Neurospora crassa OR74A: one gene and its partners. The protein of the gene in region 1 purifies or fractionates together with the protein of each later gene. This does not show direct contact. Links are inferred from orthologs where the notes say so. Each region holds a gene or a part of one and is shown in the gene's direction. Other genes may lie near its edges.

Region 1 (3,826 bases):
GTCCCATCAAAGGGCATGGAAACAGGATAGGTCAAGGCCGCCGTCTCGCTGGGGGGAACATCATCAGTCTTTGCCTCCTTTCGCGATGCCTCGGCCACGTCGACGTAAGGACGTTTCCTTGGCCGACCCATGGGTTTCTGGGCCGAGTAGTTACAGTGAACGCCTTCGCGCTTACACCGCGCACAGCCATCTTGTTCCTTTGTGCAAGCAAGTTTCCGTGTCCCTGCATTTGTTAATTTAGATACATTAGTGCGGTTGGGCAGTCATGGTTGCTGACTAGAGGGTAGAGGTAGATGAATATATGGATCGAAACGGGGAGCGGGACGAAACATACGGCACTCGTCACAGGCACGGCGTTTCACCGGCTCTTTCTCCTTAGTGACTTCGCTGTTTGAGATCATGGCTGTTTTCCGCAACCGGCCTTTCCTTTATTTTGCTTTTTTTTTCTCCCCTTCTTTTCCGCGGGCGTAGATGTGTGGTGGATAAAAAGGGTTGAGTGGTAAGGTAAACGTCTAAGGCTCTCCGCAAGCCCCGCTTAGAAGACACAGAAATCGCCCCGGTGGTACTCCAAGACACTATCTATGTAGACGCTAGTGTGGTGTACACAGTAGATGGGCAAACAGCATGGATATGTACGTTGTAACAAGGGACCTAGGATGATAGGATCGACTCGTTTTCAGAGGAGGGCAAAGAAAGCAGATTTCAGACAAGATGCTCCAGGCCCGCAATGTTAACGAGCCAACGCAAGCAATCAAAGATCACCTGGTCGCGCCAGACCTGATGCCATATTAATAAGCCGCAATTGACACAGATAATGCAGAGACTGACTTTTGTTGCCGCGTTGCCTCAAATGGCACTGGTAGTGTATCAGTCAAACACCCAGGCCTTTGGACATATATGTGGCTCACTGGCCAAAGGCATGAATGATGTCCTTTTGCTAGTTATGGGATGACTATAGCGTGGGTTTTATGGCAGTAGTGTAGTGTGAAGGTGTCGAGTAACCCTAGCCCATCAAGGTTCCCTAGCAGGCGTCGTGCTACACTACATATTGTCAACTGCCATGCTTGGAAAGCGCAAAAAGACGGCGATGGTGACAAAAACCGTAGTGTAAGAGGCAATGGGGTAAAATTCGAACAAAAGTCTGTAATTACAAGCGATCCATGGAGACTCAATCTGATCACGCCGGGTATTTGATTGATGCTGGTTTGCCAGTTTTGACTGCCAATACCCACAGAACGGGCAGGACGAACTACAGAAGTGGAATCGTGCGTGGTTGAAGCCAGGTGTAGGGGTGCAGAGGGATGCTGCATCGAGGTTGGAGTTCGGTATTCATCTCATCCATGATATACAAGTAACAAATAAGGCTAAAAATTTGAAGTCGGTATCAGAGGGACGGAGACACGGAGTGCATGCTCCTGGCTTCATTTGTCTTTTGACACGCTAAACCGATAGGGTAATATGTTATGGTTCTTTAGCTGCCAGAAATGCCAAGGGCGGTGAGACCAACTCGTCCCCGCCATGAGCTGTAGAACCGGCAGAAAAAAAAGTCCCAGGCCAATTCGTATGCTAGGAATTTTCGACGCCTATCGCTGCGACGCTATCTGGGTGTTTTACCAGCAGAAAACACGCCAAAAATCAACACACATTCACAATGGGGCCAAAAGCCACCGAGAAGAAGCGAAAGGTCCAGGACGCCGAGCCTGAGTCCGACGACGAGATTGCACCCGATTTTGACGGCGCCCTGTCGCAGAGCGAAGACGAGTTCGATTCTGACTTCGACGACAATGAGCACGAACAGGACGGCGAGCAGGAAAGCGGAAGTGAGGCCAGCGACGACGAAGATGAGGAGGGCTCCCTACTAAGCGACGACATTCCCTCCGATGCTGAGGGCGACAAGGCAATGGGCAAACTTGTTCTCGAGGACGAAGAAGAGGAACTCGAGATTGAGATACCCGGAGTCGACCCCAAGCGGCCGGAGAAGGATGATGGAGACAAGAACTATCGGATCGAAAAGGACGCGAACGGCAACGAGCGCTACGTCTACGAGTATGTTGTTGTTCTGCAAATGGATCAAATATCGTTCCATGCCAGCATAGTTAACTCGAGAATGCAACAGTGAGATCGACCCCGTCTACGATTCGGACGATTCCGATGCCCAAGAAGCGCCAAACACCATCGGCAACATCCCCATGAGCTTCTACGACAGCTATCCCCATATCGGCTATGATATCAACGGCAAGAAGATTATGCGCCCGGCCACTGGCGACGCTCTTGATGCTCTCCTCGACAGCATCGAAGTGCCCAAGGGCTGGACTGGCCTTACGGATATTCACACCGGCAACCCTCTCAACCTCAAGTATGCACCCAACCCATCCTCCTTTGTCTTGCTCGGTTTCTTCGGGTCACGCTTACTGACTGCCATACCGTAGTGATGATGAATTGGAGCTTGTTCGCCGTGTCCAGATGGGTATGATTCCCAACGAGCTGGAAAACCCCTACCCTGAAACCGTGGAATACTTTACTGGTATTGAGGAGAAAATGCGTAAGTCAAAATCTATCTACACTTATCGTTGTTGAAATGGTGCAACTAACAAGTCAATAGCCCTGAGCGCTGCCCCTGAGCCCAAGCGTCGCTTCCTCCCCTCCAAGAACGAGGCCAAGAAGATTATGAAGCTTGTTCGCGCCATTAGGGAAGGCAGGATCCTGCCCTACAAGCCCCCTGAGGAGCGCGAGAAGGAGGAGGAAGAGGAGGAGCAGTACTTTGATATCTGGCAGGATGAGGTGCCACAAGAAGTCAACCCCTTGCACATCCCGGCACCCAAGCTGCCTCCTCCTGGTTTCGACATGAGTTACAACCCGCCCGCAGAATACCTACCGACCAAGGAGGAGAGAGAGGAGTGGGAGAAGCTCGACCCCGAGGAGCGCGAGAAGGAGTATCTCCCTCAGAAATACGACTCTTTGCGGAAAGTTCCCGGTTATGGCGAGATCGTCAAGGAGAGATTCGAGAGGTGCATGGACCTTTACCTTGCTCCTCGTGTGCGGAAGAACAGGCTCAACATCGATCCCAACTCGCTCCTGCCCAAGCTTCCTTCGCCTTCTGAGCTCAAGCCTTTCCCTACAGTTGCCCAAACAGTTTTCCGCGGCCATGACGGCCGTGTAAGAAGCGTTGCCATCGACCCTACTGGTGTTGCTGTCGCTAGCGGTGGCGACGACGGTACGGTACGTGTGTGGGAGCTGTTGACGGGTCGCCAAGTCTGGTCCGTCAAGCTCAGCAGTGAGGAGGCTGTCAACACCGTTAGGTGGAGGCCCGCGAAGGACTCTTTCATTCTCTCCGCTGCTGTGGGTGAGGATGTCTACCTCATGGTTCCTACACACGCCAGCGTTACTCCTGCTTTGGACCAGGCTAGCAGAGATATCCTGTCGGCTGGCTTCGGTTATGCTACAAACGGTCAGCAACACGGCGCTGCTCCCGGCAAGGAGCCTCCTGCCAAGTGGGCCCGCCCCGGTGCTAAGCTCGAGGATGAGGGTGTCTTGATCAGGATCACAGTCAGGTCGACCGTGAAGGTCATCAACTGGCACAGGAAAGGAGACCATTTTGCGACAGTATCGCCTTCCGGACAGAGGAGCTCCGTAGCCATCCATACGCTCTCCAAGCACCTCACCCAGATTCCCTTCCGCAAGCTTTCTGGCTTGGCTCAGACAGCGTCTTTCCATCCCCTCCGTCCTCTCTTCTTCGTCGCCACTCAACGAACAATTCGCTGCTACGACTTGCAGAAGCTCGAGCTGGTCAAGGTTGTCCAGCCTGGCGCGAAGTGGTACGTATCCC
Region 2 (3,559 bases), on another chromosome or scaffold:
CATCCTGACCCTCTTAAAAATATTGATATCCAGGGGGTTATAGCGAAAGGCTTTGCTGGTCCGCAGCTATTTCCAGCCCAAACACTGCAATGAGACTGAGTCAAAGAAGGTGATCAGTTCTTGCAAGGCATGCATCATCCGGCAAAACGGGGTTGGCAAAATAAATGTTCGCGTCGTCTTAAATAGACTACTGGTCTCACGAGACTAGTGCTTGACGGTCAGCCGGGGGCAGGGGAGTTTGGAGTTTTGGTATAAATGCATCTTGTTTAAAGGCGATGATACTTGGATGATGGCTTTCAACGGTCATGGGAATTGGTATCAGCGGGTTATATGGAGGTACCTCACGGCATTATGGCAAAGTGCGCTTTCTCGTCAACTGAACCAGATGTTCCCCCAGCCATACGTTCCCTCTGCTAAGCTCATAACCCAAAATGACAACCGGGCTCCCTTAGCCACACTTTGGTTGTTCTCATTGTTGTCCTGTCGCTACATGGGCTGACGAGGAGAGGTTGTGAATCCGTGGGTTAGGGTTCATCATGAGCCGAGCGGACGAGTTCAACAAAAAAAGATAAGCCAAAATGAATTGTCCGGTATGTCGGCTTCTGGCATCTATGTCTATACCACCAGGATCCTGTGATCTTCTACACAGTACACTGCAACAGCAACTTCATTACATTTTGCAGAAGTTGAACTGTTGAAACAAGCCCCAGTCTATTCTACTACGCCCCGCAAGTGAGCCTCTTTGGGTACCTTGCATATCGCAACAATGATGAATCATAATGAAAATGGCGGTAGTGTACACTACCAAATGGGAAAGCCACTGCAAATCTGATTGGGCAAACAAGCTTTAGGAGGCGGTAATGGGGTCGGGTAGACGTAGAGGATAGCTTCCATGTCGCTGTAACATAGTGGGCTGTGTGGCAAGCCTTTTGCCATCCCGAGGGTGGCTAGGCACTGCTCGCGTAGCCTTACGAGGATTGCTCCAAAGTGTCTGAGTCACCGGTGATTGAAAATGAAATTGTATCGATGCAAGTGCACTAGAATTTCGACAAACTCATACTTCTCGATGGCAAAAATGGAAGGGTTTGAGTAGAGAGGTTGGGTTGGTAAGCCGCATGTATGCGTCCATGTCTTGTTGTTGAAGGCAAGTACTGGTACATACATCTGTAAGGGTCTTGGTACCCGCTTCCAAAAGCTGTGTGGTTCTTCCTCAGTCCAGATTCCAGATTTGATAGCGCCCCACTTTACACATAGCCTGGAGTCTGAATCCAGATTATATTTTCCTTCCATCGCCCACCCCACCAGTCGTCATTCGCGAAGCAGCAAAACGGCATTCTATACCTCCAATCTCCATTGCTTCAGTCGCATAAACTCAATCTCTCCGTCTCTATCGGAATACCACTTCACCCACCAAGTAAAGGAAGCCCACTAGGAGCACTACACAAGAAGAACCGAAGCCATGGCTGTCCGCGCCCAGTTCGAGAACTCCAACGAGTAAGTTTTGCTTGGCCTCCACGTTCCGAGATGGGGAATCGCGATGCGAAAATCGAAGATCTGCCCCGCCTGCCACCGACGACGACATCAATACCATGCTTCGACACCGCGACAGCAAGGCGACTCTTGAATCTGAATGGGGGGCGGAGGGTAGTTCTTCGGGATATCAAGTAGCAGACGCGCTAACATTGTCTGCTTTCTCAATAGGGTTGGAGTCTTTTCCACACTTACAAACTCTTACGCTTTGGTCGCCGTCGGTGCCAGCGAAAACTTTTACAGCGTCTTCGAGGCCGAACTCCAAGATGTTATCCCTATCTGCAGAACCACCATTGCCGGCACAAGAATCATCGGTCGCTTGACAGCTGGGTAGGCGCTTCTTCCCTCTGCATTTTTGATTGAACTTTTAGTCCCAAGTATCGGAGGGGGCGCAACCGAGAACCTGATTATGGGACATTGGTAAGCTAACCACGAGTAAAAAAAAAAATTACAGTAACCGCAAAGGTCTCCTCGTCCCCACTACCACAAGCGACCAGGAACTGCAACATCTGCGCAACAGTCTCCCCGACGACGTGCGCATACAACGTATCGAGGAGCGCCTGTCGGCCCTGGGCAACGTGATTGTGTGCAACGACCACACGGCGCTGATCCACCCGGATCTGGAGCGCGAGACCGAAGAGATCATTGCCGACGTGCTCGGCGTCGAGGTGTTCCGCCAGACCATTGCCGACAACGTGCTCGTCGGTAGCTACATGGCGCTCAGCAACCAGGGCGGCCTCGTTCACCCCAAGACATCCATCCAGGACCAGGACGAGCTCAGCTCCCTGCTCCAGGTACCGCTGGTGGCCGGCTCCGTCAACAGAGGTTCCAACGTCATCGGCGGTGGCATGGTGGTCAACGACTGGATGGCCGTCACTGGTCTTGATACTACGGCGCCCGAGCTGAGTGTTATCGAGAGCGTGTTCAGGTTAGGAGAGGGTGCCGCGCCTGGCCAGATCAACTCCAGCCTCAAGGATACCATGGTCGAGTCTTTCTACTAAATCCAATGGTTTTTCTTTTGTGGGCTTGTTTTGGAGTTGGTGTTATCTGTGCTTGGTAGGCAAGGAGAAAGGAAGGCAATGTGTGAGGCAGGAGGGAGCGGAGGCGAGAGATGGATGTGTAGGAGGCGGGATTCTTGTCAGGTATACCAACGACAATGGGTCGTTTCTGACATGCATGCTCAAGCGTGAGCAAACAAGGCGATTTTTCTTCCAATGAATGGTTCCTATGACTGGCGTTTTTGCGTGAGGATATGGATATGTGTGAAGATGACCGTGGTTGTGGCTCGGCCTGGATTGCGAGATTGCTTCGAGTTTTGGAAATGCCATCTGGAATGAAAAAAAGCTTCCAGTTGACATGGCCATGGCCGTTCAGAATAATCACGAAGTATAGATACTCTTCGAGGTTCAGTTAACATGTGACATATAAGTCCAGAACGCGGGACCAATGTCTTTGGGATTTGGGGCAAGGCACGGTTTTCTGCCAAGGGTTAGGGTTGTACTGGTAGTTCTTGGTTCACCTGTCATCCAGTGAAGAAGACCAACTGAAACTCCAAGCTCGTCCCCTATGCTCTATGACGGGATCATCACCTCCTTTTACGAATGCAAATCCAGACGCCAAGCGAGATGCCTCTTGAGACAATTCCCCATCATCAATGTTTACAAAAAAACCATCATGCAAAAACACAGTACGGCATGTACCACACCCGATGCTGCCTCGAGTGCCAGGGTTGGTTGCGATCGCGGCGGTTGCCAGCAAGCAGCGGTGATGCAGTGTTTCATCATGCACGATGATGTGGTTGTCCGTTCCAGGGACTCGTGGGACCCAGCATTCGTCAACACTTTGTTGACCTGACATGTCCATATGCATAGAATGGGGGGCTATAGAATGCGTATAATACCTACCACGAGTCCAAGTCCACACACAACGACATGGTAATCCACGGCGGCTACGTATAATGTCTCACTCGAGAATCCTGCTTCTTCTTCTGGAAACGGCTTGGTATGTGATGGGTGGAAATAATTTAAAC
Region 3 (3,600 bases), on another chromosome or scaffold:
AACCAAGATGGACCGGGTTCCTTAGTCAAGTAAGACAGACAGTATCTCAGCAAATTAGGGAAACCCGTGGTGGCATCAAGACGAGTAATGATGCTTCTGACTGGCAAGTGTCGGTTCTTTTCGACTCTTCTGCCGAATCGATAGGATATGGAGGGTTCAGGTCCAGGAAAAAGAAGGGTATCTTGACAGCAAGAGGAAAAAAAGATGTGCAAAGCAGGAAAAAAAAGAAACTGTACCCGTACTCGGTGGCTGAGGTGGCACGTTACCCTGGGCTGGACTTGGTTTAGGATCCAGTGATGACGATCATAGACGAATGACAGTGGTTCGGTGTTTGTGAAGAACAGAAATTTCGGCTGTTGCGGATGCCCGGCCATGAGTGCGAGTGGGAATCAGCCGGCGCGTGTCCTGCGTTGCGCTTCAGGTGGTTGCACCGGGCTCCCCAGCTCACTGCCCTGGTCCGTTACCCCAATTGCGGCAAGGCGTGATGACATTGGTGGGTGGTGGCCTTTCAAGAGCAGCAACAGCACACAGCGACGCGACCTTGCATGTGACAACAGGAAGTTGAGACTGAACTGAAGGAAGACGGTTGGGCGTGAATGCCGCCATTTTCAGTTCATGCCAGGCGTTGCTCGATATACCTATACCATAGTATATTGCCGTGCCTTGTTGAAAAGAGACTTTGTACTCTGCTCAACCGTTGACGTTCATCACCTTGGTCGATCTCGGTTGATGGGGATTTCTTTGTACACAATCTCCTCATCATGTAAAAGTGGTTCAAGCGTTCTTAGCATGTTTGCCTATCATGGACTTGAGCAGACGGCCAGTCGTCAAACAAGGTTGGATGAAGACGACGTAGACTTCAATTTTGGGAGCCACTGGAGCTTAGTCGAGCTGAATATTGACACCTTCAGTTGTAGCATTACACTACCTATACCATGTAAGCAAATAAGATCAAGCCTTTGTCAGGTTGCCGTGGCTGCGTGGGTTCTTCGATGAGACCCACATTCCAATATCTGATAATTGCACTAGTAACAACAGACGATCGTGAAGATCCGAAAGCTGTCTATTGATATTCACGATACAAAACGGCTTGAGCGCACATCTGGGATATAATTAGTATAAGTCGTGAGTTGTCCAACGAATTTCTGAAATCTAATGGGAAGATCTTTAGGTTTGGACCGATCAAATTGGATTCGAAAGAAGTGAAGGCTGCTGTGTACTGTATGCAACTTGCGAGGTTACGCTCACGCTAGCTTTATCGATAGGCAGATAAGATAAGGATTGTTTGGATGGTCGCCAGGCCAATTTTTGTTTCAACAGCATCGCACTGCTATCACCACGGGCAATACGCAGAGCTTCAGGGATCGATTACAACGCCCCGATACTCCGCCAACCACATAATTAACATGGCGCCTACCCAACCACAGACTAAGGTCCGGAAGCCTCCAAGGTCTTGGGACGCTCTCACGCCTCCTCTCGCCCAATGGATTCTTGACTACCTCTCCTCCATGGGCTTTACCCAGCCGACTCCCGTTCAAAAGTCATGCCTTGAGCTCTTCCGTGGAAATAAAGATGTTGTCGTCGAGGCCGTAACAGGCAGTGGAAAGACACTTGCCTTTTTGATTCCGGTAGTTGAGGTAAGCCGGATCTCTTGCTGTCTACCAGCTCAGGATGATCATATGCTAACCGATTCTGCAACAGAAACTCCTGCGCGGCGAAGAACCAGCCAAGCGAAACCATGTCCAAGGCATTATCATCTCGCCCACCCGCGAACTTGCAACCCAGATTTACAATGTCCTCGTTTCCCTCGTCAAGTTTCACGAACCCTCCGCTGAAGCCATTTCCCACGCCAAAAGCGACGAGAAGCGCCCAACAGCAACCCAGCCTGTCGTTGTCCCCCAACTACTTGTCGGAGGCACCACCAAGGCTGCTGAGGATCTCGGTACATTCCTTCGTCTTTCCCCGAATCTCCTAATTGGCACTCCCGGCCGTCTTGCCGAACTCTTGTCGAGCGCATACGTCAAGGCTCCCGCGTCTACATTTGAGGTTCTCATTATGGATGAGGCCGATCGCCTTCTCGATATGGGTTTCGCGAACGAGCTCAACCGCATTCTCGGATATCTTCCGAAGCAGCGCCGTACTGGTCTTTTCAGTGCTTCGCTCAGTGACGCCGTTGAAAGGCTGATTACAGTTGGTCTATTGTACCCACACAAGATCACCGTCAGAGTGAAGAGTCTGAAGGACGGTGGCATAATTCAAGAGAGGAAAACACCAATGTCTCTACAGATGAGCTACCTTGTTACCCCAGCCAGCCAGAAAATGCCAGCAATTGTCCAGCTCCTCGAAAAGCTCGAGCCCAGGCCCCAGCGATCCATCATCTTCTTCTCTTCATGCATGGCCGTCAAGTACTTCAGCCGCATTCTCGGCGCCGTCCTGCCCGCCGGTTTTTCCGTCACCTCCCTGCACGGCAAACTCGAACCTAAAGTCCGCGAAAAGAACTATGAGCGTTTCGTCAACACCACCTCGCCCATGGTCCTCCTCACCACCGATCTTGCCGCCCGCGGTCTTGATATCCCCCAAGTCGACCTCGTTATCCAGCACGACCCGCCCACGGACACCAAGGTTTTCATTCACCGCTGCGGTCGTGCCGGCCGTGCCGGTCGTCGGGGTCTCGCCGTCGTTCTGCTCCAGCCGGGTCGCGAGGAAGGCTACGTACAGCTTCTTGAAGTCCGTCAAACTCCCATCACGCCCCTGGAGAAGCCCGCCATTTCCGTCACCCCTGATGAAGTCGAGCGCGTCTCCGCCGCCTTCCGATCGCAAGCCCTCGCCGACCGCGAGATCTTCCAGATGGCCCAGCTCGCTTTCGTTTCCTGGACGCGCTCCTACATCGAACACCAAGCTTCTTCCATCTTCCGCATCGCCGACCTCGACTGGCTCGACCTAGCCAAGGGCTACGGCCTTCTCGAGCTGCCCAAGATGCCCGAAGTCCGCGAAGCCAAGATCGACCGCTCTCTGGGTCTGGGCATCAACACGGAAGAAATTCCTTTCAAGGACAAGGTGCGCGAGAAAAAGCGTCAGGAAGAGCTGGCCAAGTGGAAGGAGGAGAAGGCAAAGCGGGCACAGGAAGAGAATACGGGCGACAAGCGCAAGAAGAACGAGGCGTGGAGCGGCAAGGCGGAACAGGAGGAGACGAAACTGCAGAGGCGCGAGAAGAAGAGGAGAAAGAGGGAGGCCAAGAAATTCAGCGAGATGACGGAGAAAGAGAAGGAGGAGCATCTCAAGCTGGAGCAGATGATTGAGGAGGTGAGGAAACGGAACGAGGCCAAGGCGGCGGAGGAGAGGGCAGCTGCGCTTGCGGCGAACCCACCCAAGCCGAAGGCTCCGGTGAAGAAGGTGGACGATAGTGATGAAGAGTTTGGTGGGTTTGATGATTGAGTAGCTTCTTGGGTAATGGGAGTTGATGGTAATGGTTCATTTTCTAAGACGTAAAGGCGTATGAGGCGTATATACCCTTTTGATGAATTGGAATTTTGTTGGTTCTTGGCATGCTGTATCCATGAGTCCTCATGGTAATCATGATAATGGGTGTACTCGAAAAGT

The links.
Region 2: the proteins of NCU03321 (region 1) and NCU09004 purify together in Saccharomyces cerevisiae (affinity purification with mass spectrometry; 5 studies listed by BioGRID). This does not show direct contact. The link is inferred for Neurospora crassa OR74A from reciprocal best matches to the Saccharomyces cerevisiae genes ERB1 and TIF6.
Region 3: the proteins of NCU03321 (region 1) and NCU03380 purify together in Saccharomyces cerevisiae (affinity purification with mass spectrometry; 7 studies listed by BioGRID, with this or other methods). This does not show direct contact. The link is inferred for Neurospora crassa OR74A from reciprocal best matches to the Saccharomyces cerevisiae genes ERB1 and SPB4.

Annotation. Positions count from the first base shown.
Region 1 is NC_026501.1:5,301,204-5,305,029, forward strand, and holds the start of NCU03321 (eukaryotic ribosome biogenesis protein 1), read left to right. Parts: upstream 1-1,587; 5' UTR 1,588-1,651; coding exon 1,652-2,046; intron 2,047-2,116; coding exon 2,117-2,356; intron 2,357-2,429; coding exon 2,430-2,542; intron 2,543-2,602; coding exon 2,603-3,815; intron 3,816-3,826. Other genes in the region: ada-4 (all development altered-4), read right to left, coding at 1-223, 335-401.
Region 2 is NC_026503.1:4,190,700-4,194,258, reverse strand, and holds NCU09004 (eukaryotic translation initiation factor 6), read left to right. Parts: upstream 1-1,059; 5' UTR 1,060-1,459; coding exon 1,460-1,494; intron 1,495-1,701; coding exon 1,702-1,860; intron 1,861-1,984; coding exon 1,985-2,531; 3' UTR 2,532-3,018; downstream 3,019-3,559. Other genes in the region: NCU09005 (hypothetical protein), read left to right, coding at 1-93. UniProt on the Saccharomyces cerevisiae protein: Binds to the 60S ribosomal subunit and prevents its association with the 40S ribosomal subunit to form the 80S initiation complex in the cytoplasm. Is also involved in ribosome biogenesis.
Region 3 is NC_026502.1:903,952-907,551, forward strand, and holds the start of NCU03380 (ATP-dependent rRNA helicase spb-4), read left to right. Parts: upstream 1-1,329; 5' UTR 1,330-1,406; coding exon 1,407-1,637; intron 1,638-1,701; coding exon 1,702-3,435; 3' UTR 3,436-3,600. UniProt on the Saccharomyces cerevisiae protein: ATP-binding RNA helicase involved in the biogenesis of 60S ribosomal subunits. Binds 90S pre-ribosomal particles and dissociates from pre-60S ribosomal particles after processing of 27SB pre-rRNA.